4 linked regions of the Stegostoma tigrinum genome follow. The protein of the gene in region 2 interacts with the protein of the main gene of each other region in a pairwise test. Links are inferred from orthologs where the notes say so. Each region holds a gene or a part of one and is shown on either strand. Other genes may lie near its edges.

Region 1 (8,366 bases), on a different chromosome or scaffold from region 2:
AGAAGAATGTGCTATTTTAGAATTGTGGGTTATAGAAGCTTTATATCGCATTTAAATTTAACTGGTTCCACTCCATTCCATTCCACTGAAAATGCCTTTCCAATCAGTTTCTATGATGACCACAATGACAATCTACATCATCTGTGTAGCCTGTTCAATTTAACTATTTTAAGGATTCATTAGTAATATTATTACACAATAAACGGAAGCAAATCCAAAATATGCAAACATTTCACCAAAAAACTGGGAACACTTCTTAATCTGATTATGCAAGTACATGATCAGCAGCCCAAGACAACAGCACTGAAATGTCAGATCATCAAATCTTCCTTGAAGGCAAGTAGCACTCTTATCAACAATGCATTTTTAGTAATAAACAGTTTCCTCAAAAGTTTAGGGGTGAGCTATAACCTTAACTGTGTCACCATGAGGAAAGCACATCATAACACTCAATACCTGCCAGACTGACATCTCACTTCAGATTTTACAGATTCTCTCAAAATATTGAGAATCAGTGTCACCACTCCACCAAACATTTGTCGAAAATGTATGTAATAAAAATAAGCATTAAAATATTTTGTATTGTGACAGTGATAGGATATAGCTCCAACAGAAATGAAGACCTACTCCATGAATTTGCAAAAAGCAGCCTTAGGCCAGGATAGTTGTGGGTGTGGAGGGGGAAGATGATCTACAGAGAAACAAACAAAGTGGCCAAAAAATGGAACAGCAAAATGATCTACAACTAGCGGAGACAAGGTTCCCTTCTTGAAGCATTTGGACAAGTTTAAGAAAAAAAAAGACGATTTTGTTTTATGAAACCAAAGCGCTCAGCTTTTCATCCTGCAGCTTTGTGGAAAGTACAGTATCAGGAGGATAGGGAGAGGGAGAGAGAGCGAGAGCACGCGCGCGAGAGAGAGAGAGAGAAAAAGAGAGAGAGAGAGAGAAAGACCACACATGACAGCGCGAAGGTGGCACAGGGAAGAAAAGGGAATGCGGTGACCTGAGGGGGGAAATCGAGGTGGGCAACAAGAATTGAGGGGAGAGGATCAGGGTGATGGATGGGGTTCTTGGTTACAGGCTGGTTGAGTGTCAGGGGTGGTGTTGATTAGAGCCTGCGTGAGGGTTGGGTAGGTGATAGAGTCTAGTACAGGGGTGAAGATAGGGGGGTGGTGTGGATTGTTGGTTCAGCAGATGGGGTTGGGATGAAACAGAGAGGTCGGTTGAAGGAGTGGGGTAGTTTGATGGAGTGAGGGCGGCCTCACAAGGCGAAGGGGAACCGGGAGGATTTGGTTGAAGGCGCGAAGGGGAACGGTGGGGGGGGGACACGGGGACTGGTTGAGGGGGTGGAGGGGGAACATGGGGACTGGTTGAGGGGCTGGAGGGGGTGAAGGGGGGGGGGCGCCTGGTGGGGGGGGGGGGGCGCCTGGTGGAGGGGGGGGGCCTGGTGGAGGAGGTGGAGGGGGGGAGGGGGGCCGCCTGGTGGAGGGGCTGAAGGGGGGGGGCGCCTGGTGGAGGTGCTGAAGTGGGGGAGGCGCCTGGTGGAGGGGGTGAAGGGGGGGGCGCGCCTGGTGGAGGGGGTGAAGGGGGGGGCGCGCCTGGTGGAGGGGGTGAAGGGGGGGGCGCGCCTGGTGGAGGGGGTGAAGGGGGGGGCGCGCCTGGTGGAGGGGGTGAAGGGGGGGGCGCGCCTGGTGGAGGGGGTGAAGGGGGGGCGCGCCTGGTGGAGGGGGTGAAGGGGGTGAAGGGGGGGGCGCCTGGTGGAGGGGGGGCGCCTGGTGGAGGGGGTGAAGGGGGGGGGCGCCTGGTGGAGGGAGTGAAGGGGGGGGGCGCCTGGTTGAGGGGGTGAAGGGGGGGGCGCCTGGTGGAGGGGGGGTGCCTGGTGGAGGGGGGTGAAGGGGGGGGGCGCCTGGTGGAGGGGGTGAAGGGGGGGGCGCCTGGTGGAGGTGGGGGGCGGGGGCGAGGGGGGGCGCCTGGTGGAGGGGGGGGCGTCTGGTGGAGGGGGGGGGGCGGAGGGGGGGGGGGCGAAGGGGGGCACCTGGTGGAGGGGGGGGGCGTCTGGTGGAGGGGGGGGGCGAAGGGGGGGCGCCTGGTTGGAGGGGGGGCACCTGGTGGAGGGGGAGAAGGGGGGGGCGCCTGGTGGAGGGGGAGAAGGGGGGAGCGCCTGGTGGAGGGGGAGAAGGTGGGAGCGCCTGGTGGAGGGGGAGAAGGTGGGAGCGCCTGGTGGAGGGGGAGAAGGTGGGAGCGCCTGGTGGAGGGGGAGAAGGGGGGAGGGGGAGAAGGGGGGAGGGGGAGAAGGGGGGAGGGGGAGAAGGGGGGAGGGGGAGAAGGGGGGAGCGCCTGGTGGAGGGGGAGAAGGGGGGAGCGCCTGGTGGAGGGGGAGAAGGGGGGAGCGTCTGGTGGACGGGGTGAAGGGGGGGCGTCTGGTGGACGGGGTGAAGGGGGGGCGTCTGGTGGACGGGGTGAAGGGGGGGCGTCTGGTGGAAGGGGGGGGTGAAGGGGAAAGGGGGGGTCTGGTGGAGGGTGTGAAGGGGAAAGCAGGGGTCTGGTGGAGGCGGTGAAGGTGGGGTTCTGGGTAAACCTGGCCCCCGCGTCCCCTACCTGAGGTAGGGCGGTGTTGAGCTGCCTCTGAAGCGAGTCCCTCTCATGGAAGGCCTCCTGCATCTTGGCCTGACACAGGGCCAGTGCCTCCTGGCTCTCCCGGAGGCTCTCCAGCAGCTTGTCCCGCTCATCCAGCATGTTCACCATCAGCTGCTCGAAGTTGGCCTCGGTGTCGGCGCCGCACTGCGAGCCCCGGGGGCTCAGCGTGTCCTCGCTGATGGTCGGCATCACCTCGCACATCATGGTGGGCCGGTGCTGGATATGAAGCCGGGGGCCGAGGGGAGGCCTACTCTCCCCAGGCCAAGGGGAACACTGACCCCGACTCAGGGAACAACAGCGGCCTGAGAGCTGAGGCAGGCCGGGGCCCAGGCTCCACACAGGATCCTCGGTAGTCGGTAAATGTACACACGGTCCCGGATCTCACACACACCGGCACAGCCTGCCGTGTCCCTCTGCTATCCCTGTCCCGAGGCCCGGCTTCCTCACATCTCCCGCTTCCAACCGGCACGGCGTCCGCGACCCCGACAAAATGTCCGCGCACTCTCCCGCGACCTGCAGCGCGCACGCGCGCGCACCCACCGTGCGCCGCCACCTCGCGCATGCCGTGCCCCGCCCCTCCTCGTCCCTGGCTCCGCCCACGTACCCAGCCGTTGCTGCAGGCCCCACCCACCTCTTGGCCCCACCCATCCCCCCTTGGCTCCGCCCCGGGAGATTCCTCCTCTGTCAGAAGCGAAGAGGCTGTTCAGCCCATCCTGTCGCCAGCAGTTCAATGAGCCCCGTGAGATCATTGCCAATCTCCGGCATTTTCACCATTTCCTTGCACTTTGTTTCTATTTAAGTAATCATTTGGTCACCAAATAAATAACGTTGCCGAGATAGTAGGAACTGCAGATCTGGAGGGAGGAGGGTTACTCCTTCAAGAAGTTGCCAATGTCCCTTAGAGTTGCTCTCAGATCACAGAGAGAGCTGAATTACGGTGGTTTAACCTTAGGGTCTCAGTGCCTCAGATGAGGGGCAAGGGTGAGAAGGAGTGTTTTCATGCTCTTCATTAGTGACAATCACTCACAAAAGAGGATGATTGTCCTGAGATAGTAGGAACTACTGATGCTGGAGAATCTGAGATAACAAGGTGTGGAGCTGGATGAACACAGCAGGCCAAGGAGCATCAGAGGAGCAGGGAAGCTGACGTTTCGGGTCCAGGCCCTTCTTCAGAAATAGGGGCAGGGAAGGGGATTTTGAAATAAATAGGGAGAGAGGGGGAGGCAGATAGAAGATGGATAAAGGAGCAGATAGGTGGAGAGGAGACAGACAGGTCAAAGAGGCAGGTATGGAGCCAGTGAAGGTGAGTGTAGCTGGGGCATTAGGGAGGGAATAAGTCAGTCCAGGGAGGTGATGTTCCTGCAATCTTCAGATTATCGTGAGGTGAGTTGGCTCGCCGAGTTGGGCTCTTGTTTAGAAACCAGCTCACCAAGACAACCAACCTCAACACCCACAACCCGAGGTACAAATCTACTCCAAAACCTTCAGATGATTGTCCACTTAGAAAATTCTGTGTCTCTGATCATGAGTTCTGTGGACCCTTTTGGGACTAATGACCCTTATATGCCTTGGCATCACAACTGCATATCTGAATACTTCTTTAATATTACAGGGGTTTCTACATCTACCACTCCTACAGGAATAAGATCCAGCTTCCTGCCACCATCTTAGTGAAAAAGTTTCTTTCTCACGTATCCTCTAAACCTTCTGCCCCTTACCTCAAATCTACACTCTGTGGTCAATGGCCCCCCCCATCAAGAGGTAACATTTCTTCCTGGTAACCTATCTATGCCCCTTATAAATTTATTCATCTCAATCATGTTCCTGCTCAATATTTTTTCTGCTCAAAGGAAAACCACCTCCATTTGTTCAATCTCTCTTGAAAATTGAAATTGTCCAGCCCATGTAACACCCTGGGAAATCTCCTCTACACACGCTTCAATGCTAACACATCCCTCCTCCACGTCAGTTTCTTCTGAACAAAATACAGTAGAGGAACTGAACCCAGGCTGCTGGCACCTACATGGACTATGGCAAGCAAACATTTAATGTGATCCCAAATGCCTCAACAGAATCTGTTTCCGTGACATTTCCAGACATTTGCTAAGTGAAAAAGATATTTCTCACCTTGCATTTGCTTAGTTTGCAAAACACTTTAAAACTGTGCTCTCTGGTTCTCAATCTGTTTATGTGTGGGAACATTTTCTCCTGACTTATTCTGACCGGATGATGTTAAAAATTTCCCATGAAATCTCCCCTCAGCTTTCTCCCTTTCCACGGAAATTAGTCCGAACTTCTCCATTTAACCTCATCGCTGACACCATCCTTGGAAAACTCTTCTGTGCTTTCTCAAATGTGCTCACATCCTTCCTGTTGGTGGAGTTGTGGACAGCATGGGGGGCTGTTGTAGGTTGCAATGGGACATCGACAGGATACAGAGCTGGGCAAAGAAGTGGCAGATAGAATCCAACCAGAAAAGGGTGAAGTGATTCATTTTGGAAGGTTGAATTTGAATGCAGAATACAGGGTAAATGGCAGGATTCTCATCAGTGTGGAGGAACAGAGGGATTTTGGGGTCCATGTCCATAGATCCCTTAAAGTTGCGACCCAAGGATTGAAAAGAAGGTGTATGGTGTATAGGCTTTCGCTGGCAGGGGAATTGACTTTAAGAGCCATGTGGATATGCTGCAGCTCTATAAAACTCAGCTTGGACCACAGTTGGAATATTGTGTTCAATTCTGGTCACCTCATTGCAGGAAGAATGTGGAAGCTTTAGAGAGGGTGCAGAGGAGATTTACCAGGATGCTGCCTGGATGGGAGGGGGCAGGTCTTATGAGGAAAGGTTGAGGGAGCTAGGGCTTTGATCATTAGAGTGAAGAAGGTCAAGAGTTTACTTGATAGAGGCATACAAGATGATGAGAGACATAGATAGGGTGTATAGTCAGGGACTTTTTCCCAGGGCGGAAATAACTTCTATGAGGGGGCATAATTTTAAGGTGATTGGAGGAAGGTACAGGGGAGATGTCAGAGGTAGGTTCTTCACACAGAGAGTGGTGGGCGTGTGGAATGTGCTGCTGGTAGTGGTAGTGGAATCAGACACTTTTGAGACTTTTCAGCAACTCTTGAATAGGCGCAAGGAGGATAGTAAAATGTAGGGATGCAGGGTAGTTTGATCCTTGTAGGATAATAGGTCAGCACAACATCGTGGGCCAAAGAGTCTGTACTGTGCTGCACTGTTCTATGTTCTGTGTTCTGTAGTTTGGAACCCAGATCTATACACAATATTCCAGCTGAGGTCTAAGCAGTGTTTCTTACAGGTTCATTATAACTTCCTTACCCTTGTTCTCTACACCTGTATTAATGAAGCCTGGAATATTGCATTCTTTATTAATCCCTGTCTAAATGAGTTAACAAATGCATGACAGATGCCTTATAATGTGGGCAAGTGAGAGGTTATGCACTTTGGGAACAAATACAAGAAGGCAGATTATTGTCTGAATGGCTATTATATTGAGAGAATGGAATTGAGACCTGGCCTGACTTGTACACCAGTCACTGAAGGTGAGTAAAAATCAGGAATAAAATCAGAAGTTGCCGGAAAAGCTCAGCAGGCCTGGCAGCGTCTGTGAAGGAAAAAAATCAGAGTTAATGCTTCAGGCATGCAAGTGCAGCAGGAGGTGAAGAAGGCAAATGTTATGTTGGCCTTCATAGCGAGAGGATTCGAGTACTGGAGCACGGCTGTCTTGCTGCAATTATACAGAACCTTGGTGATTTGATTTGATTTATTATTGTCATGTGTACCTAGATACAGTGAGAAGTTTAGCGTGCACACCAGCAGATCATGACATACAAAGACTGAGGAATATAATGTTTCAGCTGTAGAGAAAGTGCACAAAGAACATTAAATTTGAAACTTGAGAGGCCCATTCAGAAGTCTACTAACAGGGAGAAGAAATTGTTCGTGAATCTGTCAGTAAATGTGTTTAAGTTTTTGTATTTTCTGACCAATGAAGGAGGTTGGAAGAGATTATAACCAAGGTGGGAGGGGTCTTTGATTATGTTGGCTGCTGTTCCGAGGCAGGGAGAAATATAGATGGAGCCAATGGATGGCGAGTGGAATATTGTGTGCAGTTTTGATCTCCTTATCTGAGGAAGAACATTCTTGACATAGAGGAAGTACAGCAAAGGATTACCAGATTAATTCAGAGATAACACAGTGTGGAGATGGAGGAACACAGCAGGCCAGGCAGCATCAGAGGAGCAGGAAAGGAGCCGTCAGTTTTCCTGTTCCTCTGGTGCTGCCTGGCCTGCTGTGTTCCTCCAGCTCCACACTGTGTTATCTCTGACTCCAGCATTGGCAATTCTTCCTATCTCGCCAGATTAATTCTGGTAGAATTCCAAATGTTGGGACTGATATATGAGGAACTGAATAGATTACATTTGCTGGAATTCAGAAGAATGAAGGTGGATCTCAGCGAAGGCTTAAAATTCTAACAAGGCTATAAAGGTTAGATGCTGGGACAATGTTACCAATAACCAGGAAGTCCAGAATCAGGGATTTCAATCTGGGGATGTGGGGTAAACCATTTAGCACTCAGGTGAGGAGACATTTCTTCATCCAGAGAGCGGTGAGTCTGTGGACTTCATGGCCACAGAAAGCAGTGGAGGCAAACTTTGTATGATTTCAGGGAAGGATAGAACTTGGGGCTGAAGGCATAAAATGATGTATGGGGGAAAGCAGAAACAGGTTATTGAGTTGGATAATCAGCATGATCATCATGAATGACAGATCAGGTTTGATGGGCCAAAGGGCCTACTCCTGCTCCTATTTTCTATGTTTCTATGTCTCTACCTGTCTCACCTTTAATAACTGACATACATATACACCCAGCTCCCTCTGCTCCTACACAGCCTTTAGAATAGTATCCTTTATTTTATACTGTCTCTCCATGTTATTTGTACCTAAGTGCCTTACCTCACATTTCTGCATATTGAACTTCATCTCCACCAATGTGTGAATGTCTTTTGAAGAGTTACACTGTCATCTGTAAATTTGGAAATTAGGTCCTATGAATATCAGGAAAAGCAAGAGTTCCAAAACTGAGCTGTTGAGAATTCCACTGTAAACATTTCTCCAGGCCAAAAAATACTCACCAGTCATTGTGCGGCACTGTTTCATCAACATGTTTTGGAAATCTATGTACACCACATTACATTGCAGCTATTGGGTGAAAATTTGAAATAAAAAGAGAAAAAAACAGGTATGTTCATTCCAATCCTGCAAAGGTGCAACCTGCCGTCCTTAGTCCCATCTGACACAATGCCCCAAAAGTCTAAAGGTCTCCATCCTGCATCATTTTTTCTGCCACTTTCTCGATCTTTCATGCTCTAACTCACTGGCATGTGGTTGGAAAATAGGAACAGGAGTTGGCCATTCAGCCCATTGAGTTTAACCCACCATTCATTAGGATCATGGCAGATTGAACATTTCAGAACCTTTACCCACCCCACTCCCATAATCTTTTATGCCACTGCTAATCAGAAATCTATCAATCTCTACCTTAGATTCAAAGACTGAGCTTCCAAAGTCCTCTATGGTAGACAAATACAATGAGCCACAACTTTCTGAGTAAAATAACTTATCCTCATTTCAAACCTAAGTGTCATTCCCCCTTATTTTTCAATGTGCCCCCGGTTCATAACTCCCCAAATTGGGGAAACATCGCATC
Region 2 (7,941 bases):
CTGCTAGATTAAACTTCCAATAATGCTCCCCCACTTCCAGCTCTATTCCTGAACTCACATCTCTTTTTATAGTTTCTCTCCTCTCTGCCCTCATGCTCTCTCTAAGCTCATCTTGTCTATTAGATTCATCCAATGCACCGGCAATCTCTCTCCTTCAGTTCTCTGCCCGAAAAGAGGTCAGTCTAACAATGTCATGACCTCTGCCACATATAGAGCAAGGAGGGGCTAGCCTCAAATCCACCCCGGTGAAAATGGGAGTTATACAACCATGACAATGGCATCAATCTGTGTTGCAGGATATATCTGTGCTTGTATTTTGCATGATCTGTGAGTAGTTCTAATAAAGACTCCAACTTGCTTTCCATCACATAGCTAACCAGGGAATTCTTCCGCTCTTACCTTCTGCCACCTGTATATGTTAGAAGATTACACAGTTTGAAACTCAACCTGTTTGGTAATGTTAGGAATATTTCTTCCTTGGCCATCTGGTCCTGAGATGAGATCTGAACTCTGAGTTTCTGATCAGAGGCAAGGATATTATCATCTGTGCCATAGGACGTCTCCAACCAGCCCATTCTCACCAAACTACTAACTATCCACTTCCTCTCCTAGTCCCTATATTACCCAATGTTGCGAACAGATTTTCCAGTGTGGTTACCCATTCTTTTAAAATCTACCAAACTTCTTGAACACTATAGTGCCATTTCCAATCACACATTTCTCTCCATAATCCGTGAAGCAATTTTCACCTCCCAAATCTTTTCCCAGAAATCCATGAATAGAGGACCTCAATTTAGTTTTCCATACCAACCATATTAACAAATCAGCTCTTATCAAAGTAATAAACAACATCCTCTTTGACTGACAAAAGTAACTTTGCTTCTGTGGCCTGTATGCAGCACAACATGAGAACGTGGTTCACCACACCATGTTCGTCCAATGCTTCTCCATGTTCATCCATTCGGGCTGCTCTCGTCTGGTTTTGTTCTTATCTTAGGTTGGCAAATAATTTGCAATGATTTCTCTTCCTACACTAAGACTTTAGCATCCCCAAATATGGAGACTTGAACCCTTCTTATTTCTCATCTACATTTTCACCTTAGGTGGCAACACCTGAAGGCATGGCATTAGTCCTAACACACATTCTGATGACACCCAATTCTATCTCACCACCATTCTAAACTTCACCATTGTTAACAGATTGCCCGCCTTGAAAACCGAGGGCAGAGATATAGGATTATCACCACTTGCAAATACCCCTCCGAGCTACACACCATCCTGACTTGAAACTATATTGCTGTTCCTTCACTGTTGCCTGGGTCAAAATCTTTGCTAAGCAGCTGTGGATGTACCCACACCCCAAAGACTACAGTGGTTCAACAACACAGCTCACCACCATCTTCTCAAGGCAATTAATGTTGGCATCACCAACAACGCACATATCTTAAGAAGAAATTGAAAGAAAGACACTCCATACCTGACACCAGTATTGAACACACCACTATCTCCTTCAATTAAAACACACAGTCATCACTTTTGACCCCTGCTCCAAATCCCATTGCCTAGCAACTGGCTTTATCCCTCTAAGCTAATCTGTTCTAAGCTTTATTGCCATGTTTGACCCAAAATGAAATTCCTACCTCATATTCATGTAATGACACGACTACCTATTTCCAAATCCATAACATCATCTTTGTCTTTTTGTCAGGTCATCTTCTACTCAACCCTTCACAGACAAGTTGGGCCAATGGTATTCCTTCCATGCTGCAAAATCTCTATGACTCCAAGTGGCATTCACCCATTGCACATGTGTTCTCAGCTTGACTGGGAGCCAATATACTATGCGTTGATTTTTAAAACACACATTCTTGTTTTTAAATCCATTCATAGGCTCCCCTGTATCATTGTAAAGTCCTAAAGTTCCACAATGCTCCAAGACATATTGTGTTCTTCAAATTCTAGCTTCTTGAGCATCCCTGATTTTAATTGCTCCACTGCTGGTGACCAAATCTTCAGTTTCCTCAGCCCCAAACTCTAGAATTCCCCCTCTCTGCTTAGTTTTCCATCTTCATGATATCCTGATAAGGAAGTTTTGCTAATTCTATTGGCTCCACCTATTCTACTGATGTCAAGCTGTGAATAGAGGCAAGGAATTCGACTCTAACTTTTGGATGGATGAGCTGTGCTTACACTACCTTTTCCCCTTTGCTGTCATACGTATAAAACCATGTTTTTCTGGAGGTACTCTACAATGGCATATCCTGTACTACTAAGCACTAGGTAGGCCCAAAACAAAACAAAGCAAAGACAAAAGGATTGGTGACAGTAAACTACCTCAAACAATTCTTACCAAGTACCACATTCTGGTAAAGGTCGTTAAAAAAGGTAACAAGGAGTGGTCACCTGCAAAAACACCCCAAAATTTACGCTTTAATCTAGATGTTGATACTATATGGCTCTCTTACACTTTTATAATAATGTGAAAAGCCTTAAGTTGTTTTGATACACCAAAGCAAGTTATTGTTGAATTGTGCATTATTTCTAATGAAAAGCCAGTATCTACCTAAAACAATGTGTAAAGATGCTGCCTGAGGTCGCTCCACCGTCATTTAAACAGAGAGCGCTAACTCAAACGCACGGCCAGCTCCTCGGGCAGACATTTCTCGGCGAGTGAAAACAGATCCGCCTGAAATTACCTCGGTGCTCGGCGGCCGAAACCACAAACCACACCCTCCCTCCCCACCGTAAGCTCGGGCAATATCCGTTTGAGCCGGGGCTGGCGTTTTACTCCAGGCCCAGGCTCGGCGCGGGCCCGGGCCTGAAGACTATCTGCCCGCCCCCCACTCAAACAAAAAGGTCGGGGAGAAGATCCAGGACTTTTCAAATCAAAGAGATCGGGAGCGCGGTAACAGACCTGCTGGTGGAAGCGGCTGAGCGCATTGAGCAGGGTGTGCAGGCTCTGGGCCATCTCCTTGTCGGCAGCCCCTGGTTCTACCTCGGCCGCCATGACCGAAGCGAAAGGCGAGCAGGAGCAGCTCACAGGAGGCACTGGTACATTCTACACTGCACTGCCTGAGATCGAAACTTCACACACCTTCTCTGGCCGTCTCCCTAGCAATAAATATGTTGCATCTATCACCGATATTGGGCGCAATCTCTTTTTAACGCGTCTTAAAAGTTTCAGTTAAAGTCACATATTTAACAATTTTTAAAAAAAAACACCGAGATTTTTTTTGCTCGACAGAAGCCGAGTGTTTTCGGCGATTCTTGTTTCTATTGCAGCAGTTTCTATATTTGCATCTCCTCCGCCAGTAACTTGGTTCTAAGTTAGCGTCTAACCAGTAAAATGTTCCATTCATCGAAGTGTTATCGCACGCAATTTTAAAGTCAGCCAGGTAAGGAAATAAAAGGGCAGTTTCAATTCAAGGCACCCACTCTCCTCACCTCTGAAGTTTCATCGCTTTTATGCATGCCTGAACTTTCGCTGTAATCAGTGTGGAGTAGCTCTGGACAACTATCAGTGAACACTATTAGTTCGCAGTGTCGACTACATCTTTCATCACCTTGCTGATGACTGAGAGTGGACTTATGGGGTGACAAGTGCCGAATTGCATTTGTCCATCTTTTTTGCAGATAGTTTTCCACAACATTTGGTAGATGCTCTTATGTACCTGAACTGACAGTTAGTCCAGCAGCGTGACTCCTGTGAAACGCAAGGGTAGGAAGAATATAAAAGCAGAGTTTTGTTAAACATGGAATGTCTGAAGTGCAGAGTTATGTTGCGCATGAGTCATGATAAGTTAGTACAACTGTACAGCAAGTAATTGAAAGATTAATAGAACCATGTCCATTACTACAAGAAGAATTGTACGTGCAAATGTTGTGTTTCAGTTATATTGCAGTTTGCGAGACCACGTTCTGAGTACTGTTTGGTCTCCTTATATAGTAAAGGATGTAAATATTTTGGAGGCAGTTCTGAGAAGTTTTGCTAAGTTGATGCCCAGAAGGAGTGGGTTGTCTTTTGAACAAAGATTGTACAAGTGAGATAATGGGAACTGCAGATGCTGGAGAATCCAAGATAACAAAGTGTGGAGCTGGATGAACACAGCAGGCCAAGCAGCATCTCAGGAGCACAAAAGCTGACGTTTCGGGCCTAGACCCTCCCGAAACGCCAGCTTTTGTGCTCCTGAGATGCTGCATGGCCTGCTGTGTTCATCCAGCTCCACACTTTGTTACATTGTACAAGTGAGCCTTTTTCCACAGAAGAGTGACAGAGGCATATCGAAAAATATAAGATCTTCATAACCATAACAAGGTGAGTGGGTCCAGACTAGGCACTGTTTTGTTTTAAAAACTAGGCTTGCCCTTTTTAAGGCAGAGATGAGGAGGGTTCTTTTTCTCTCAGAGGGGTGTGCAACTTTGAAGTTCTCTGCCCTAGAAGGTGGCGGTAGGTACAGCCGTTGAATACTTTCAAGACAAGTAGTTTAGAGAATCAAAGGTCAGCCTGGGGTAGGTGGGGGCTTGGGGTTACGTGATGTAGTGTTGAATTTCCTTCATTTGGACTTTATGAAATATTAGAAAGACCCTCAAACTCAATGGACACGGCACTGCAACTAAAATTCATTCTTCCACGCAAATGCACAGAGGTTAAATTCAGACAATGGCTCAGCATGAAGGATTCAACATTGTCTAAACCCAAGAAATGCAGATACTGGAAATCTGACTGTCACTGGACCTGAAACATTGACTCTATCTTCTCTTCACAGACGCTGCCAGACCTACTGAGATTCTACGACAATTTCTGTATTTGTTTCAACTTTGTTTGACTGCTACCATGTGACAGTGGTGCAGAGAAATGTAACAACGCGCCTGATGCAATCCTAGAGAGTGATCACATACGACAAGGATTGTATTGGACCCTAGCCATTGTTATGGAGATGAGTTCCCATTCAGGAGGGAAATCAATAATTTGAGAAGTTGTCCATCTGGATTTAGGCCCATAATTGGGGTGGAGTGGCAGATTATAAGGACAATAAAGTTACCTTCAGCCCAGTGTCATCCATCTGTGCTAGTTACAGAAGGGTTTACCATTCATGATACTGCCCAAAATGCACAATGTATGATGTTCATTTGAGAAGTGAAATATACTCCAGACACAGGTGACATCCTGAGAGGGAGGAATGCCTATGAAGACTACCTACTTCTGGCACTGGTGGCTGAATTTTCATAGTGCAGCCAAGGCAGGGTAAAAGAAAGATGTGCCAGCAAATTTATAATCGCACTACGGCATGCTGAACTCCTGAAGCTTTCCCATCAATTCAGGTGGAGGCATTATATAGTGCCAGTTTAACCAAGGAACATTCAAAGTTATAGTTTTACATATCAAAACACTTATCTTCCTTTTACGATCCAAACCTCTTTTGGCCACTTCATCTGTTTAACTAGCTTTTCAAATGAGATAAAATACATTTTGTTGAATTCAGGCACCAAGCATATATAAAATCATTTCCCTCATTGGAATCAGAATCATCCTCTGAGCTGCTATCTTTTTTATTCTAAGCCTTCTTTTGGCCCACTCCTTTTTTTAAAAATTCCCAATCTCTTTGGAGTTCCAGTCTTTTCAATCCATCTCCTTCTGTTATTCTTTATCCTTTTTTTTGTTTTATGTTTTTTGAACACTACCTCCCTGTTTTCTCTCTACTCACTTTCCATTTTGCTCCCTTTTCATTTTCAAATTTTTTTTTCATTTTTCTTTTTCCAGTCAATTCTTTTTCCTTTCTTATCGTTTTGTTGCTAATCCCAGTTCCTTTCTCCTGATTCTAAATATTGTATAATCACTTGATGCATTTCGCCCTTATGGGACATTGCTGTTTGCTCTTCTGTTCATTTATCTGCTAACGGTGTTTAGATTTTGTCAAAGATTTTAGATATTACAATTTCGATTCCAGAAAAGCCTTAGCAAATTCAGAGTCATCTTCAACTCTCTGTACAATAAACTTCACCACAACAAAGCTGCTTTTTATGCCCAGAGCCACCATGTAGCCATAACTTTAACAATTCACCATTAACAGTTGATTCAAAAATTCCCAGACAATCCTCCACCAGAATGACCCACCAGAAGTTATTACTGTTTTGTTTACGTTTTGACAAGGTGGTCTCTAACTGAAATATAAGCATGCAATGTTGCAGATTTGGTTTCAACAGTAAAGTAAATTTTATTTCACACCAGCTATGAAGATAAAATAGAATAAAACCGAACTATTCACACAATACAAGTTTAGAGATTTTGAAACACACAGCAAATACAATCCCACTCCTTTTCAAATTCCCTAAACCATTGCTTATGCAATACACAAAAGCACACCTTGTACCGTACTCACACTGGAGAAGAATGCCTTCAGTAACACCTTGATAGGTTTAATTTAATGTTAACTTCACCTCCCATTTGTAGAAAACCTGAGCCTTTGCTTGGAGCATTAGGCATGGGTTCAAAACCCATCACGGAAGCCTATGAAGTTTAAATTCAATTGAATAGGACTTAGGAGTAGAGCATTTGGGTCTTTGCACTTGCTCCATCACTTAAGATCATCACTGATTTAGCTGTGGTCTCAGCTACACTTTCGCATTTGCACCATGTAATCCTTGACTCCCTTGTTATTAAAATTCCATCTAACTCATGAGCCTCAAATAAATTCAAAGATCCAACTTCACTGCCTTCTTGGAAGAAAATAAGACCATAAGACATAGAAGCAGAAATTAGGCCAATCGGCTCAGCGAGTCTGCTGTGCCATTGAATCATGGCTGATAAGTTCCTCAACCCCATTCTCCCATTTTCTCCCTGAAACCCTTGTTCCCCTTGATAATCAAGAACCAAGTCTTAAATGTACTTAATGACCTGGCTTCCACAGACTTCTGTGGCAGTCAATTCCATAGAGTCACCACTGTCTGGCTGAAGACGTTTCTTCTTATCTCCGTTCTAATAGGTCTTCCCTTTACACTAAGGCTGTGCCCTTGGGTCCTTGTCTCTCCTACAAATGAAAACATCTTCCCAACATCCACTGTGCCAGGTCATTCAGTATTCTGTAAGTTTCAATTAGATCCCCCCTCATCCTTCTAAATGCCAATGAGTAAAGTCCCAGAGTCCTCAAGCGTTCCTCATATGTTAAGCTTTCCATTCCTGGGACATTCTTGTGAACCTCCTCTGCATGTGTCTTACTAATGATCCTGAAGAACATAGTTCTTCTTATCACTGTCTTAAAAGACAGACCTTTTATTCTTAAACAATGTCCCTAATTTTAGCCTCCCCAACAAGAAGAATCATTCTTTGAGTATCTCCCTATCAATTTCTCTCAAGATCTCATATGTTTCAATAAGTTTGTCTATTTCTGTGATTGGTTATCTCTGATCTTTCTGTCAAAACTCTTAATGTAAAATAGATCAGAGTTTGCATTCTGTCCATTCGCATTTGGATAAGGATTACTTATTGTCCTGTAAATGATGCGGCTGCAATACTGAAGGAATCTTGATTGTAATGTGCTAAAACATCGGTGGGAAGAACGCCTCCTTTTGATCTTCTTCAAAATCTGCAGTCTGATGGCAATACTTTGCTGCACCTTTTTCGAAAGCTTTCTTATGGGTTAAGTAAAGCAGGCTTAGCTAGAAATAAGAAATAGTAAGAACTACTGATGCTGGACTCAGAGATAACACAGTGTGGAGCTGGAGGACAACAGCAGGCCAGGCTGTATCAGAGGAGCAGAAAAGTTGACATTTCAGGTCAGGACCCTTCTTCAGAAAAGACCTGAAACGTCACCTTTCCTGCTGCTCTGACGCTGTCTGGCCTGCTGTGCTTCCTCTAGCTCTATGCTGTGTTATCTATAAACTGGAAATAAAATGACTGAGCATACCTAAGCAGCTCATTTATGCATATCAATGTGGAAATTC
Region 3 (7,889 bases), on a different chromosome or scaffold from region 2:
CGTGACCTAATGCTTTTAATAAGGACCCTCTGCCTTGCTCCCACGACTTCTGTAATTCCCCCTTTCCTCCTCCCTTCAACCCACCAAGATCTGAGCACTTCCTAGTTTGGCCGATTTATACATCAGCCGTTGTTCGTTTGGTAGCACCCTCATCTCTGAGTCAGTGCATCTCTATCAAAGTGGTAGAAACATGTTAATGGGCTCACAGAATCACAGAGTTGTAGCGATGTGCAGCATGGAAACAGAGCCTTTGGCTTAACTCATCCATGCTGACCGGATATCCTAAATGGATTTATTCCCATTTGCCAGTTTTTGCCATATCTCTCTAAACCCTTCTTATTCATGCACATGTCCCAATGACTTTTAAATGTTGTAATTGTACCAACCTCCACCACCTCCTCTGGCAGCTCATTCCATACACGCACTGCCCACAGCATGAAAAAGTTGCTCCTTAGGTCCCTGTTAAATCTTACTCCTCTCACCTTAAATTTATGCCCTCTAGTTTTGGACTCCCCTACCCCGGGGAAAGACCTTCGCTCTTCAGCCTATCCATGCCCCTCGATAAGATCAACTCTCAGCCTCCAACATTCCAGGGAAAATAGCCCCAGCCTTTCGGTCTCTCCCTATAGCTCAAAGCCTCTAACCCTGGCAACATCCTTGTAAATCTTTACTGAACCCTTTCAAAGTTAACAACCTATAGCAGGGAGACCAGAAATGAATGCAGTATTCCAAAACGTGGCCTAACCAATGTCGGAATGAAATATGGGCAGATGGAAAGATGTGTGAGGGGCTTCCAGGCTTTAGGGCCTCGATGACTACAGGTGTGGTAGCAAAATGTGGAGTAAAGGCAATAGCAGTTGTCCAAAATTCAAATGATTACAGAGATATCAGGGGATTGTTTTAACTGTACCAGCCTCCTTCAGTTGTGTCTTGGCCGGAAATGTCAACTTTCCTGCTCCCCTGATGTTGCCTGACCTGCTGTGTTCCTACAGCTCCACGCTGTGTTGTCTCTGACACCAGCATCGGCAGTTCCTACTATCTGTGGGCTAGTTCTGCCATAAAACGCGTTTTGTTAATGCAAATTGACTGTAACGCGATTGATGAATAGTGGATGCAGTTTGGATAATGTGAACTTTCTGCTGTACAAGTATAATGATTTTCTACAGCGATTTCCCTATAACATGATTTTCTATGGCGCAAGGTCACAAAAGAATGCAACTGTTGGGTTTTGGAGAATCACCTGTTTCTGTCAAGATGCCCCTTAAATGTTGCTATTGCGTCCACCTCCACCACCTCCTCTGGCAGCTCATTCCTGGCACTGACCACTCTCTGTGTAAAAAAACCTCCCTCTCACATCTCCATTAAACTTAACCCTTTTGGCTTAATAAAAACCGAAAGAACTGCGGAAGCTGTAAATCAGGAACAAAAACAGAAGTTGCTGGAAAAGCTCAGCAGGTCTGGCAGCATCTGTGAACTGAGGGAAGGGCCAGTGGAACTGAAATGTTAATTCTGTTTTTTCCTTCGCAGATGCTGCCAGACCTGCTGAGTATTTCCAGCAACTTCTGTATTCGTTCCTTTTGGCTTATTCCCTAATAATTGGCATTTCTACCCTGGGAAAAACTATTCATTCTGTCCATGCTTCTTGTAATATTGTAAACTTCGACCAGGTCACACCTCAGCCTCTGAAGTTCAAGTGAAAACAAGCCGCGTTTGTCCAATCTCTCCTCATAATACCTTCTAAACCAGGCAACATCCTACCAAACCTATTATGTACTCTCTCCAAAGTCTCCATGTCCTTTGGGTAGTGCGGAAACCAGAGCTGTATGCAATAATCTAAATGTTGCCTAATTAAAGTTCTCTACAGCTGCAACAGGACTTGTCAAATCTTGTACTCTCTGCTGCAATGATGTGTGCCATATATCTTCTTGATGACCTTATCCAATAGTGATGCCACTTTCAGGGAACTGTGGGCCTAGATCCCTCTGTATGTTGATGCTATTAAGGATTCTTCCATTTACCTTTTACCTATCTCCTACATCAGATCTCCCAAATTGCATCATCCCACGTTTGTTTGGATTAATCTCCATCAGTCATTTCCCCTCTCAAGTCTCCAGCCTATCTATACCCTGCTGTATCCTATGGCAATCCTCATCACTGTCTCTAGCTCCCCCCGTCTTTGTGTCATCCACAAATTTACTGATGAAACTGCCCACATTTTCCTCCAAATCATTTATATATATTACACACAACCGAGGTCCCAGTACTGATAGCTGCGGAACCCCCACAGGCCGAAGATCTCTAGTCAGTAAAAACACTCTTCACAGTTACTCTCTGTCTTCTATGACCAAGCCAGCTCTGTGTCCATCTGACCAACTCATTGCAGATCCCATGTCTTTGTATCAGCCTGCCACGAGAGACCTTGTCAAAGGCATTGCTAAACTCCATGTAGACAACATCCGCCACCCTGCCCTCGTCAATCATTTTGTCACTTCCTCAAAAATGCAATCAAGTTTGTGAGACACAACCTTTCCTGCGCAAAGCCATGCAGCCCATAGCTAATAAGTCCATACTTTCCCAGGTGTGAATAAAGTCTGTCCCGAAGAATCTTTTCCAACCATTTCCCTATGACTGACATAATTTCCTGGATTACTTCTATTGCCTTTTTTAAACAAAGGAATAACGTTGGCTAGCCCCCAGTCGCCTGAGACCTAAATGTTCTCAATTACACTATGTGACACAGTTCTACTGATTTAAAATCTTTATTATTGACTGTTTGATTGATTTTATCGTTACTTCATAGTGCCTGTAAAATGAAGGAGCGTAATTGAGGTTTAAATTTGTTAGCATGGTACCCACTGAACAAAACATCTGGACAAAACAGGGTCAGCACCCGTAACTTCCCTCGTGCTCTCAATTTCTGCAATTATACCTTCTCAAATTCAGAGATTAAGTTAGTTTTGTCTTTTAATACTGATATTATTACAACACTGCCTTTGTTTTCTGTGCATGCAACAGATTGAGAAGTTAGATGTAAACTCACCTTAGTCTGGGCTGTGTAACTTGGTGAAGGCAGACTCACTTTCTGGAGTGACAGAACAGCTGAGGAAGCTGCGTGGCTGGAGTAATATTAGCTAAAAATACACCAGGCCAACAGTGAGTGAGGGGGAAGGGCCTGTGAGATTATACCAGTCCTAGTCCTTGGATCCCTGGAATGACTCAACTAAATCACAGCTCTGTCTCCCCACCAATGCGCGGCTCTCTATTTTTGTTTTGGAATGCTCACTAGTGTTTAAGTGACATGAAGAGTCATGTTGCAGGCACTAATGACAGTGTTGGCAGGGCTAAGCAGACTTGCATACTCACACAGGCATACACACATACACATATAAACACACACGCGTGCACACACACATACTCACATATACACGCACAGGCACACACGCACACATGCACACACACACATATGCCCACACACATATACACAAAGATACTGACACATATGTGTATTGAAACATATATGCGTGTGCACACAAACTCACACATATTAACACATATGCATATTGACACGTATGCACACGCACACAAATACACCCATATTGACACATATGTACATTATTCAAACACTTAGGCACACACATCCATGCATGCACAAATGCTCATATTCACATGAAGCTCAGTTATCAGGGAAGGTGATGACAGTGCAAGAAAATGGCCTTCAAGGAGATATTCAGCCATGATCTAGAATGGCAGAGCAATCTCAGTCGGCTGAATGATCTACTATGCTCCTGTGTGCTCCTGTTGTAATGATTGTAATGAGGTCAGCCAGTTGGACCTCACAGAATATGAGTTCTCTGATTGGGACTGTTAACTTGGTCCAATCAGGGAGCCCTCACTGATAGATATAAACAGGAGTGTCAGAGGGCCTCCTTGCTCTGAGAGAGCTGGGTCAGTGTCAATGGCTTCTCATGTGTAAATAAAGGGTGACTTGGTGACCAGGATGAGTGTATGTATGCATGTACTCACTCTGTGGAGTTGTTTCTCCAATATTGCTATATGCTCTCACTCTCAAAACTGCAGACATATCACAACAACATAGGCATACTCCCACTCACTTACACAAACACCAAAACCCACACAAGTCATTGTATCCACTCATATTCATGTACACTCACCAAAACACACTCAATATTCATGTGCATGTGCGCGCGTGCGCGCACACACACAACACACACACACACACACCCTTGCACCACCCCTCACATACACACACAGCTTCACATCTCCCCTCTCTCTCTCTCACACACACACACACACACACACACACACACACACACTCAGCCTCACATACACACACCCTCAAACACAGCCTTACACATCTGTATATAAAAACCCACTCACACAGACCCTTATACACGCATCCTCATGCACACGTCCTTACAAACACATCCTTGCACACACACGCTTCCACATGAAGCCTCATATACATTATCTCACACACACACACACACACACACACACACACACACACACACACACACACACACACACACACACACACACACACAGAGAATGTACACAAAAAATGAATTAACAACAGAGTCAATTTGCTTCAATGCTTTGAATTGTGTCATTCTCTAGTAATCACCTGCAAACAATGACAAAGTGGGAACAGGGAATGCATGTTGTAAAATATGAAATGTGCATCAGTGTTTGGTTAAACAACATTGATTTCCCTTAAGGATAGCAGAAACATGAAATCACTTGCCTAATAGTGAGTGCTGAGGATCAACTGCTACTGCTGTAGAGACTCCAACTGATTGATAGATTTGGACTGAATATCAAGGCATTTGGAGTGAGGAGGATGGGGGCATTGAGTGGTGCGGAGCTACAGATGGCTCACACTACAAGCTGGATAAGCTTCAAGGGGCTAGACATCCTCTGTCTCCTGTACCACTCGTATCGTGACACTGAAATCATTTGGAAACTACCATCTTTCAGGATGAGTTCAGTCTGGTGTAGCTGGAGGGGAATGCAATCTGCTGATCTGGAGTTTTTTTCCCTTTTATTCATTCACGGATGAGGGCGTTGCTAGCCAGGCTGCCTTATTGGCGCCATCCCTAATTACCCAGAGGGCATCTCAGAGTCAACCATGTTGCTGTTGGTCTGGAGTCAGATGTAGGCCAGACCAGGTAAGGATGGCACTTCTCTTCCCTAAAGGACATCAGTCAACCAGATGGGCTTTTCCTGACAATAGACAATGGGTTTATCATCATCATTAGATTCTTAATCACAGATATTTATTGAATTCAAATTCTACCATCTGCTGTGGTGGGATTTGAACTCAGGTCCCCGGAATTTTGTCAGGGTCTCTGGATTAACAGTCCAGTGATAATACCACTAGGCCACTGCCTCCTACTAGTTACGAAGATTCAGAATTGGAGGGGCCATTCAGTTCTTCTGGTCTGCTTCACCATTCAATTAGTGCATGCCTGAACAGTTTGTAGTTTGAATTTCAGGATCCACCCAACCCCCTACCCGATAATCCCTTGCTGAGTGGCAACCCATCCTCCACTGCAACAAAAACATTCAATGATCCCACCTTCACTGCGTTCCGAGGCAGGGAGCTCCAAAGTCACACGGCCCTGGTTTTGCCAATTGGAGGAACTAATAATCCACCCATTCCAGTCAGCCATTGCTGGGCTTCTCAGTCAGAAGGTTGTGAGATCAGCTCCTGCTTCAGCTCCAAATCCAGGTTTACACTCCCTCAGCAATGCTGGGGCTGTGCTGCACTACTGAAGGTGAGATGTTAAAATGAGGCTCTCAGGTGCAAAAAACAGCTCCTACAGCAGTCTTTGTAGAAGAATGTGGTGTTGAGTGAAATAACGGGTGTAAAGAGTTAAATATTAGAGACTGCGTTAAGTTCCATCCAATTTTTAAAAAAATTCACTCGTGAGATGTGGGCATTACAGCTGGTTAGCATTTATTGCCCATCCCTTGTTGCCCTTGAGGAGGTGATGGCGAATCACTTGCAGTTTCATGTGCTGTAGGTAGTCCCACACTGTTGTTAGTGGAGTCTGTGATGTCACACAGATGATAGGGAAAAGTCTGAACAGCTCAGTATCTTGTAGAATGGAGAGCTATATCCCAGGGATCCACATAGTTATACTAATAAAGTTTATCTTACTGACATCCCCCTTACCCAATTACCATCATGCAATCAATTAAATCTTGGTGAAATCTCCAATAAACCCACGCGCGATTTTCCCTCTATCACACTGTAGACCTTCAGGCTCAAACAAGAGCCTTGCAAGGGGATGGTGACAGCAGACTACCCCAACCACAAGTTGGCAGTGTTTGGCATCACAGCCCATGCAACATGGTGATCAACAAGAGAGCATCAGTTCTTCAGGTAGTAAGGTTGCTTTGAAGAAGATAACAGTGATGAGCATTCCAATGGACTCATGAGTAGAAACTTCCAATTGTTAAGTACTTGATGGTTTTAAGAACAACTCATACACACAGCAGGTGGCTGCCTACAACATATGAATAAAAAATTGGCCTGTAGACAAACTCATAAAGTGAACGAAGGAGAAACTGTACTTAATGGTAAAGCAATTCAAACCTGGTAAGTGAAGTGCTGCAGGAGGAGGGAGCTGGAAGGTGAGCCGGCAGTTGCAGCATCCATTGGGAGGTAAGGATCTGTACAGCATTCCTGATTAGAGGCTCAAAAGGAAGTAAATGGTATTTGGAATTCTACAAGTTAAATATCTTTGTTAGGCATGTGACGATGCTGTGGCTTTAAGAGGTGTATTTTTGTCCTGGTTTCTTTTAAGAGAGAGATTGGAACAAGAGTCAATAAATGTGAAGCTGGAGAAGCACAGCAGGTCGGACAACATCCGAAGAACAGGAAGGTCAATGTTTTGATCTGAAAACCCTTCATCAGGGCTGGGGAGGCAAGCCCAGAAATAAATAGATGGATGGCCATGGGGCTGGGGGGAAGAGTAGGTGGGATGGAGCTAAGTGGATGCTGGGAGGGGGTTATTGTGGTGGGTCACTGGGAAGGGTGGAGTGGATAGGTGAGTTGGAAGTTGGCGAGGCTGGAGGAGATGGGATTTTCAAGTTGGTGAAGTTGATATTCAGGGCCAATAGGCTGTAAGCTCCCAGCAAAATATGAGGTGATGTACCCCCAGTGAAGGAGGTCAAGGATGGACATGTCACCAGGACAGTGGGAGAGAGAGTTAAAGTGGATGGTAACCAGAAGGTCGGGTTGGTTGCTGCGTGCAGAGCACAGATGTTTTGCAATCCATTCCCCAACTCTGTATTTGGCTTCCCCAATATAGAGGAGGCCACATCGGGAGTAATGGATACAATACATGAGGTTAGATGAAGTGCAAGTGAATCTCTGCCAGATTCTGAAGGATTGTTTGGGGCCTTTGATGGAGGTGAGAAGGGAGGCATGGGGCAGGTGTTGCAACTCCTGCAGTTGCGGTTACCATCCACTTTAACGGCAGTGGTGGAGAAGTTGGCGGGGAATGTAGAGCTGATGAGGGAGTCATGGAAGAAATGGACTCTGTGGAAAGTGGACAGGAATGGGGAGGGGAATGGTTTTTCGGTGGTGGGATCTGGTTGTGGGTGGCGGAAATGCCAGAGGATGATGCATTGGATTTGGAGTTTAATGGGGTGGTACGTGAGGATTGGGGATTCTATCTTTATTGTTGTTGGTGGGACAGCATTTGAGGGCAGAAGCATGGAAAATGGGGGAGATGTGGCTGAGGCCATTGTTAATAACAGAGGAGGGGAAGCTATAGTCTCTAAAGTAAAAGCGTATCTGGGAAGTCCTAGTGTAGAACGCCTCATCCTAGGAGCAGTGGAGGTGGAGGCAGAGGAAT
Region 4 (7,689 bases), on a different chromosome or scaffold from region 2:
CAGGGACTAATGAATTTCAAAGCTGAAACCCAACACTACCTTAAGGGCAAGTAGGAATGGGCAATAAGTGCTAGTCCAGTCAGCAAGACCTATATCTCATGAATGAGCAGAAAAATGATTACCAGTCCATATGTTGTCATTTGTGGGATCTTGCTGTGCAGAACTGGTTGTCATGTTTCCTACATTACAGTAACTATACATCAAAAAGTGCTTCACTGGCTGCAAGGCATTTGGGATGTCCTATGATTGTAAGAAGAACTATAAACCAGCAAGTCCTATCTATCAAATCCTCATTGTGCAGAAACTACAACTCACATTACAAGACAACTGAATAACAAGGTCAGAGATAATGGGAACTGCAGATGCTGGAGATTCCAAGATAATCTTCGGTCCGCCTCCCCCTCTCTCCCTATTTATTCCAGTTCCCTCCCCCCATCCCCCTCTCTGATGAAGGGTCTAGGCCCGAAACGTCAGCTTTTGTGCTCCTGAGATGCTGCTTGGCCTGCTGTGTTCATCCAGCCTCACATTTTATTATCTTGAATAACAAGGTCAATTTCTTTTCTCTTCACACTGATTTTTTAAATACAAGGGTGAATGCTTGAAATGCAAATTTAAAGACAATTTAGAACTGAACCCTATTTAAACTGTACAACTTGGCTGAGCAAAACAAAATCAATTATTCTTATTGGCCACACAAACTTCATACTGAACTGAGGAACTGAATAACAAGTCAGCTAGCGGTTTCCTTGGTAATTTGTAGTATCATTAAAAAAATTACAAATCTTGGGAAATGCACCAACTTGAATTCAAGGATTATGTAACTGTAACCTTGTTCTGTTACAGTAAATCCCTAAAACACCATTCCACCACAAGGAACAAAGCAGTAGTCAAGGCTAAAGAACCCAATTCACACAAAAACCAATAGATAACACATTTCTCCAGTTTGATTACAGAAATCTCCTTGTGTACCACATTAGAACAAATTATTCAACTGTCTACATATTATACACCCATCTGAATGGTGGGAGGCAGGCTTTGAGAACTATCATTGTTCAATGCAAAACTGCCCAACAGGCTGATTTTGATTTAAAGCTTTAATTACTTACTGTATTTTCAACTGCTGCCAAAACACTAAAACATGTGCTCTCCACAACAGAACTGAAAACTCCGAAAACACTACATTCTCTTTCACTAGATCATATACAATTGTGCTTAGAAATAAAATTTTGCAATTAGACTATAATTAAGAGCAAGGATACATATGACTGGTTTCAGGAATTTTGTAAGTTTAACAAATTTTGTTGATTGTTAACTTACAATTTATTGCACAATTAAATGTATTTCTTTTCATTCTCATTTTTTCCTCTCAACTTAAATTAATGATCCAACCAAAGCACATAATTCATAAGATTGTACAAATTTGTTGAAACTTCTACTCAGCAATCTTAACCTTGCAACATGTAAAACTTCTATCTAAAATCCCACCTATAATGATACCAAATTTGTTCTGAGCACCTTGGACCACTAAATAAAGTGGCCAGTCAAAATATAGTCAAGGTTTTGCACTGCAAAGTCCAAAAACAGCAATGAGATAGTTAATCTGGTCACTATCTTCATGATGTCCACCTTATTTTGGTCAAATAAATACTTGCTAATGACATGGAAAAGAATTATTTGTCCGAAAGAAACAATCATGAGAAATTACAGTAATATTGGTGGAGATCACGCTGAGACCAGTCAGTGTTAGAAATGCAAGCCACTTTAAGGGGTATCTAGAACAACTCCGGAGTTGTAGAGTAGATTCTGATTGGAAATTGTATTTGGTTTTGGGGCCTTGTGGTGTAGCAGCAGTGTCCCTATTGCTATACCAGGAGTCCAGGATCCAAAAGCCACCTGCTTCAGAGACGTGTAAAAACATTAGATCCAGATACATTTAAAATTAAAATCTCAAATGATCAAAGAAAGGCTGATTGTCTGACTCCTCTTCCCTGTCTCTACAACCCTTTCTTAGGGCTTGTGTAGTGTTCTTATCTCTCAGCTAGGAGGCCCAAGTTCAAGTCCCAACTGCTCCAGCAGTGATTAGGAAATAAAAATCAAATAAAAAATCAAAAGAGTTCTATACTGCATTTCCCCTGTCAGGCTCTGCACTTACACTGATAATTGGAAACACGGGTGAGTTAGCAGTGGCAGATAACAGACGAACATTACGAGTGATTTGGTGGCAGAAAAAAAAGCCGTTCAGTTGTGTGCAAGAGCAGGTCTGGAGAAAAGAAAAGGAGTTGGTTCTCTAGGGCTGCTTGAGTCAGACAGTTTGGGTTCAAGACCCAGGAACAAAAACAGAAGTTGCTGGAAAAGCTCAGCAGGTCTGGCAGCATCAGTGAAGAAAAAAAAAATCAAAGTTAACGTTTCAGGTCTAGTGACCTTTCCTGAGAACTCTGGTCTTTCGGTTTTTATGGGTTCAAGATCCACCTACTTCATAACATCTCTGAACAGGCTTATTAAAAAAAAAGCTGGGTTTTCCACCCCTGGTGGACACGCCCATAACTGATTAACTGATGGATTTATCAAACAGGTGATTTGCTGGTGGGTTCTTCTGGCGCAGAGATAATACCTCTATCTCTGGACTAGGAGATCTAGGTTCAAGTCTTACATGCTCAAGAGCTGTGATAGAACATCTCAGAACAGGTTAATTTGAACATATCTTCGAACTGGATTCTTCATCAGTGGGGAATTGGCTTCTGGACAGGGCATATATGCAGAAGCATAGGTGGAAACTACTGTCAGATCTGCGAGTTTCTCCACCGATTTGCTTTCTTAACGCTGTTGTCCTTCTGTCAAGGATCTATGGACAAGGTTTCCCAAGGTCCCAAAAACCTTCTGCACATCCTACAGTCCCAAGATTCAACACACAATCCCTCGCCTGGGGAGCCCTACCAAAAGTGGTAACGCTTTCACTGACGGATGTGTCACTGCAAATCATCTCAAAGATTACACCGGCTTCCCTCAGCGGCACGTGGGCGCCGCCTGGACTTTCTGCTGGGGCTGGACAGGCGACCAGTTGGCATGCGCACTCACGAGACACACCCCACCCCCCACATGAGACCCATCGCGGAGGGTGGAGCTGACTTTACACATGCGCAGCTCCCCCTGCTAGCGCGGGCGGAGGAAGAGGGCGCGCGCGCGCGCGCACGCACGCAGGCGCGACACTCACCCATAGCGTCGGCGATCCCTCAAACGCTTATTGTAGTCGTCTCTCGCCGACCGCCCCCTCCCCCCCCCCTCTCTCTCTCTCTCTCGCTATCTCTCTCTCTCTCAGCGGGAAGGCCACCGAGTTCCGGGGCCGGTTAGATAACCGAGCGGCGGCAGCTGCTGCTCGGGGGCGGGAAGCACAAGCACGATCGGGGCCTTCGAACCAGCTCCACCGGGCCAGATGGCGAGACACCGGGAAGGGTCTGTCACATTAAACTCCGGCCGGGTTCCCTTTTTTTCCGTTTTGAGTTCGCCGTCGCCGTGTTATTCGGGAGAAGTGCGTGCCTGTGTGCGGATAAGGAAGGTGTGGCACCGTGCCTTCTCTGTCTTTCGCCCTGGATGCTCCAGCTCCCGCCGCCCCAACCGTCTTGTCTTTCTCTCCCTTCGCTCCTGAGCCGCTGCCGAGGCTGCGCGCGAGCTCACAGGCCCCGCCCCCAGACCACTGCCTATTGGCCGAACCTCTACCGGCGTTCTGACCTCTGCCCCGGGTGCGCCTTCCGATTGGACGTCCCTGGCGTTCATCACCGCCCCTCGTCTCGAACGTCCGCCCACCCATTGGACGACACCCAGACTCTCGTCCCGCCTTCCTGCCTCTCCCTGATTGGTCTAAACGTGACGTCTTGTGATTGGTTATCCGAGGTGCTAATCATGGACCGGGTCCATCGGTAACACTTCAGCGCGAGGCTATTCGGCCCCTCTGCTTCTTATGCATGGTTCTATTATCAAGAAAAATCATGGTTGATGTATGTATTAATCTGCTTTTATTGTTTAAATCTTTAGGGTCATAGAGTTTTTACAGCTTGGTTAAAAAGTCCTTCAGACCATCATGTTGGCCTGGTCATCCGTCATTAACCTAAATATTCTAATCCCATTTTACAGCTTTTGACACTGGTGATGACACCCATCCCTCTTGGGAGATGAAGGACTGTGTTCAAGGTACTTCTGTATTGTATTTTGAACAGTATGGCATCAAGTCTAAAGAGCTGGAAGGATCATTGCAAGAAGGAACTTTGTGAAGAGTACTGACCTTTTTGTTAATTTTAAGAAGGTTTGATGTCACTTTCTCATAGTTGCTTGTGAAGAACATCAAGGAGCAGTGTCCGTCCATGCCATGACCTGGATCAATGGGCTGAGGAGTGGCAGATGGAGTTTAATTTAGATAAATGTGAGGTGTCGCCTTTTGGTAAGGCAAACTAGGGCAGCACTTATACAGTCAATAGTGGGGTTCTGGGGAGTGCTACCAAACAGAGACCCTGGGAGAGCAAATTGCTGCAGTTGCTGGAATCTCTACTGAAAGCAACAAATGCTTGAGATCACAGCAGGTCAGACAGAGTCCATTACGAGAGAGAGCAAAATAATGTTTCAAGTCTGATGAAGGGTCATCTAGGCCCAAAAAGTTAGCTTTCTTTCTGTCTATGGATGTTGTCTGACCCACTGTGATCACCAGCATTTGTCGTTTTCAGTCAGAGACACTGGGGCGCAGGCTCATAGTTCTTTGAAGATGGAGTTGTAGTTAGACAGGTTAGTGAAGATGGCATTTGGTACATTCACCTTTATTGGTCAGTGTGTTAAGCATAGAAATTGGGATGACATATTGTTGCAGTACAGGACATTGGTTAGGCCACATCTGTATACTGTTTTCAATTCTGATCTCCCACTATAGGAAGGATATTGTTAAACATGAAAGGGTTCAGAAAAGATTTACAAGTATATTGTGGGGATTGGAGAGTTTGAGCTATAGGGAGAGGCTGAATAGGCTGGGGCTATTTTCCCTGGAGCATAGGAGGCTGAGGGATGATGTTATAGAAGTTTATAAAATCTTGAGGGGCATGGATAGGGTGAATAGCCGGGTAGGGTAGTCAAAAACTATAGGGCATAGCTTTGAGGTGAGGGGGAAAGATATAAAAGGGATCTAAGGGGCAACTTTTTCACGCAGAGGGTGGTGCATATATGGAATGAGCTGCCAGAGGAAGTGTTGGAGGCTGGTACAATTACAGCTTTTAAAAGGCAGCTGGATGGGTGCATGAATAAGAAGGGTTCAGAGGGATATAGGCCAAATGCTGGTAAATGGGACTAGTTTAATTTAGGATATCTGGTCGCATGGACAAGTTGGACTGAAGGGTCTGTTTCCATGCTGTACAGCTTCATGACTCTATGACATTATGAGTTCCATGCCTCAACTTTCTCCAATTCTGCATCCAGATTGAGGCTACATTACCATCTCCATATTCATTGTTAATGAGCCTGAAGATCCATCATCTTTTAACTTCAAGGACAACTGTCATTGAGCCTTGTCTGTTGTGGTTGTAAAGTCCAAATTGTGAGAGGCAATCACTTCTACTGTTGGTGCAAATGAACAGCCTAGTTCAAGGAAAATACAATACAGGTATATGTTGTAAATGCCAATGGTTCTGATTGGCTTTTGTACCCCTCTCAAGTGGTCCCCCCTTCTTCATTTCAGCTCATCAGTATAACATTTGTTTCTTTCTCTATCTCTTCTGAAGCTTCATTATTGAATTCCTGCAATTAGTTTTTGGCTCCTACCATGGCATTGAAAAGGCTCCTATCAAAGTCGCAATTGATATCCTGTTTGATTGCATAAAAGGTAAATTATCTCACCTTATTTGTCTCTACCCTTTTGCGACATTGGTATTGTTGATCACCATTCTCCACTCAGGTCTTCCAACCGTTTGGGGTCACGTGAGCCTTGTTCCATTTTTATCTATCCGTTTGTAGCTAGAATAATTACCTGCGATGGCTTCACAAGCATTCTCACGTGGTTACCTCTGATGCCATTCATTTTCTTGGTCCTGTCCTATTCCTTATTCAATGTTGCCTTTCAGAGATATCATCAGAAAATACAGCATCAGTTTATACATGTAAACTGGTGGCCCCCAGTGCTATCTCACAACAGCCCTTTTGATTCCCCTGTTGCCTCTAATTGTTGTCTCTTATCACTTTTGTGATATCTGGTACTCAATAAGCAGAAATTTCTTCCAATTAAATATTGGGAAATTTGATTCTCACTGCAAACTCTGTTCCTTAGGCACACACTGTATTCCTATCCCTGATGACCTTCTGTGGCTGGAGCTTGCTTTCATATTTGATCCCTCAGTGAGCTTCTGATTGCATCCCTAAGCATTGTCCCTAAGAGAACCGTTTCCACCTTTATTTAATCACACAACCTTCCACTGCCTCCAAACATGCTGGCCTGTGCTTCATTCTCCATTAACTTGTTCCTTGCTAAGTTTTAATTTTAAAATTGTCATTTACCAAGGAAGAAGGTATTGCCTAGGTCCTGGTGAAAGCAGAAGTTGTTCAGATATTTTAAGACACTAATACAATCAATAAGGAGAAGCTAATGAATAGGCTATCTGTAAATTGATAAGGCATTATGACCAGATGACATAGGTCCAGGAAGACTGATGGAAGTAATCATTGAAATTATGGAGATACTGTCTGTAATTTTGTAGTATTTGTTAAACTTGGGTGTTGTGCCAGAGGACCAGAGAATTATTAAATATTAAAATAATATTAAACCTTTGGTGATAAGTCCAGAAACTACAGGTCAATCAGTTTAATTTCAAATCAATTTATAGTCACTTTGAAAAGTATGGGCTAATTTAAGAAAGCCAATACAGATTTGTAAACAGCAAATTGTGTTTAAATTACTTGCTGAAGTTTTTTGAAGAGGTTACAAGGAAGATTGATGAGACTAATGTTGTTAATGTGGTGGACACAGACTTCAAAAGACATGAACTTTTCCCCAGACCTCTCAGTATCTTTACTTATATCTATTTCTTATAATGTACTGCATTAACGACGCTTTTAGTTACAATCTATTGGTTATTAGCTGCTGTAATATCTCCTTATTTAACTCAGTGTCAAGTTTTTTCTTGCGCTTTTGCATGTTACATATGACATTAAAAGTTGCTATGGAAAATGTCATTCATGTTAGCCATGAAACACCCATCTGCTGCTACTATATGTTACTTCCACTGGATATCAGATAAACACCATGACAAACCAAAGGGAATAAGAGAGGTGATATTGAAGAAGAACTGGGTAATGCAAGCACACATGTCAAGTCTGGTGTTGCCACTAACTCCAATTGCTGCACTTCCTTCAAAAATATTTATTCTGTAGAGATACTGCTGCAACTCAAAAGAAATTGGCAAGACTACCTTTGGAGCCTCAAATTATCATATGGATTTTTCTGCCTGTTCACACTGCTCAGCAAAGCAGTTTTAACAGAAGAAAGGCCCTTATCCACTGATTTGAAGCAATAAATGATACTTCTGCACGGCTGCACGTTGAATCTTCTATACGCATACTTGTGCTAGTGTACTAACTACATTTTATAATTCATTTATAGACTCTTTATGATGAGTGACGTTAGCACTGAGGAAAACCATACATCTGTGTTTTGTTTTGCCAAGT

Evidence for each region.
Region 1: the proteins of mbip (region 2) and liprin-alpha-1-like interact in binary tests that used the Homo sapiens proteins (3 or more experiments, as listed by UniProt). The two-hybrid records come from large-scale screens. The link is inferred for Stegostoma tigrinum from reciprocal best matches to the Homo sapiens genes MBIP and PPFIA1.
Region 3: the proteins of mbip (region 2) and txlnba interact in binary tests that used the Homo sapiens proteins (3 or more experiments, as listed by UniProt). The two-hybrid records come from large-scale screens. The link is inferred for Stegostoma tigrinum from reciprocal best matches to the Homo sapiens genes MBIP and TXLNB.
Region 4: the proteins of mbip (region 2) and rap1gds1 interact in binary tests that used the Homo sapiens proteins (3 or more experiments, as listed by UniProt). The two-hybrid records come from large-scale screens. The link is inferred for Stegostoma tigrinum from reciprocal best matches to the Homo sapiens genes MBIP and RAP1GDS1.

The regions. Positions count from the first base shown.
Region 1 is NC_081370.1:62,701,912-62,710,277, reverse strand, and holds the start of liprin-alpha-1-like, read right to left. Parts: upstream 3,146-8,366; 5' UTR 2,842-3,145; coding exon 2,599-2,841; intron 1-2,598. UniProt on the Homo sapiens protein: May regulate the disassembly of focal adhesions. May localize receptor-like tyrosine phosphatases type 2A at specific sites on the plasma membrane, possibly regulating their interaction with the extracellular environment and their association with substrates.
Region 2 is NC_081363.1:56,749,577-56,757,517, forward strand, and holds the start of mbip (MAP3K12-binding inhibitory protein 1), read right to left. Parts: upstream 3,099-7,941; 5' UTR 3,008-3,098; coding exon 2,915-3,007; intron 1-2,914. UniProt on the Homo sapiens protein: Inhibits the MAP3K12 activity to induce the activation of the JNK/SAPK pathway. Component of the ATAC complex, a complex with histone acetyltransferase activity on histones H3 and H4.
Region 3 is NC_081362.1:90,531,628-90,539,516, forward strand, and holds the start of txlnba (beta-taxilin), read right to left. Parts: upstream 3,142-7,889; 5' UTR 3,041-3,141; intron 1-3,040. UniProt on the Homo sapiens protein: Promotes motor nerve regeneration. May be involved in intracellular vesicle traffic.
Region 4 is NC_081354.1:4,868,866-4,876,554, forward strand, and holds the start of rap1gds1 (rap1 GTPase-GDP dissociation stimulator 1), read right to left. Parts: upstream 3,295-7,689; 5' UTR 3,216-3,294; coding exon 3,212-3,215; intron 3,066-3,211; exon of another isoform or gene 2,993-3,065; intron 1,192-2,992; exon of another isoform or gene 1,107-1,191; intron 1-1,106. UniProt on the Homo sapiens protein: Acts as a GEF (guanine nucleotide exchange factor) for the Rho family of small GTP-binding proteins (G proteins) that stimulates the dissociation of GDP to enable subsequent binding of GTP.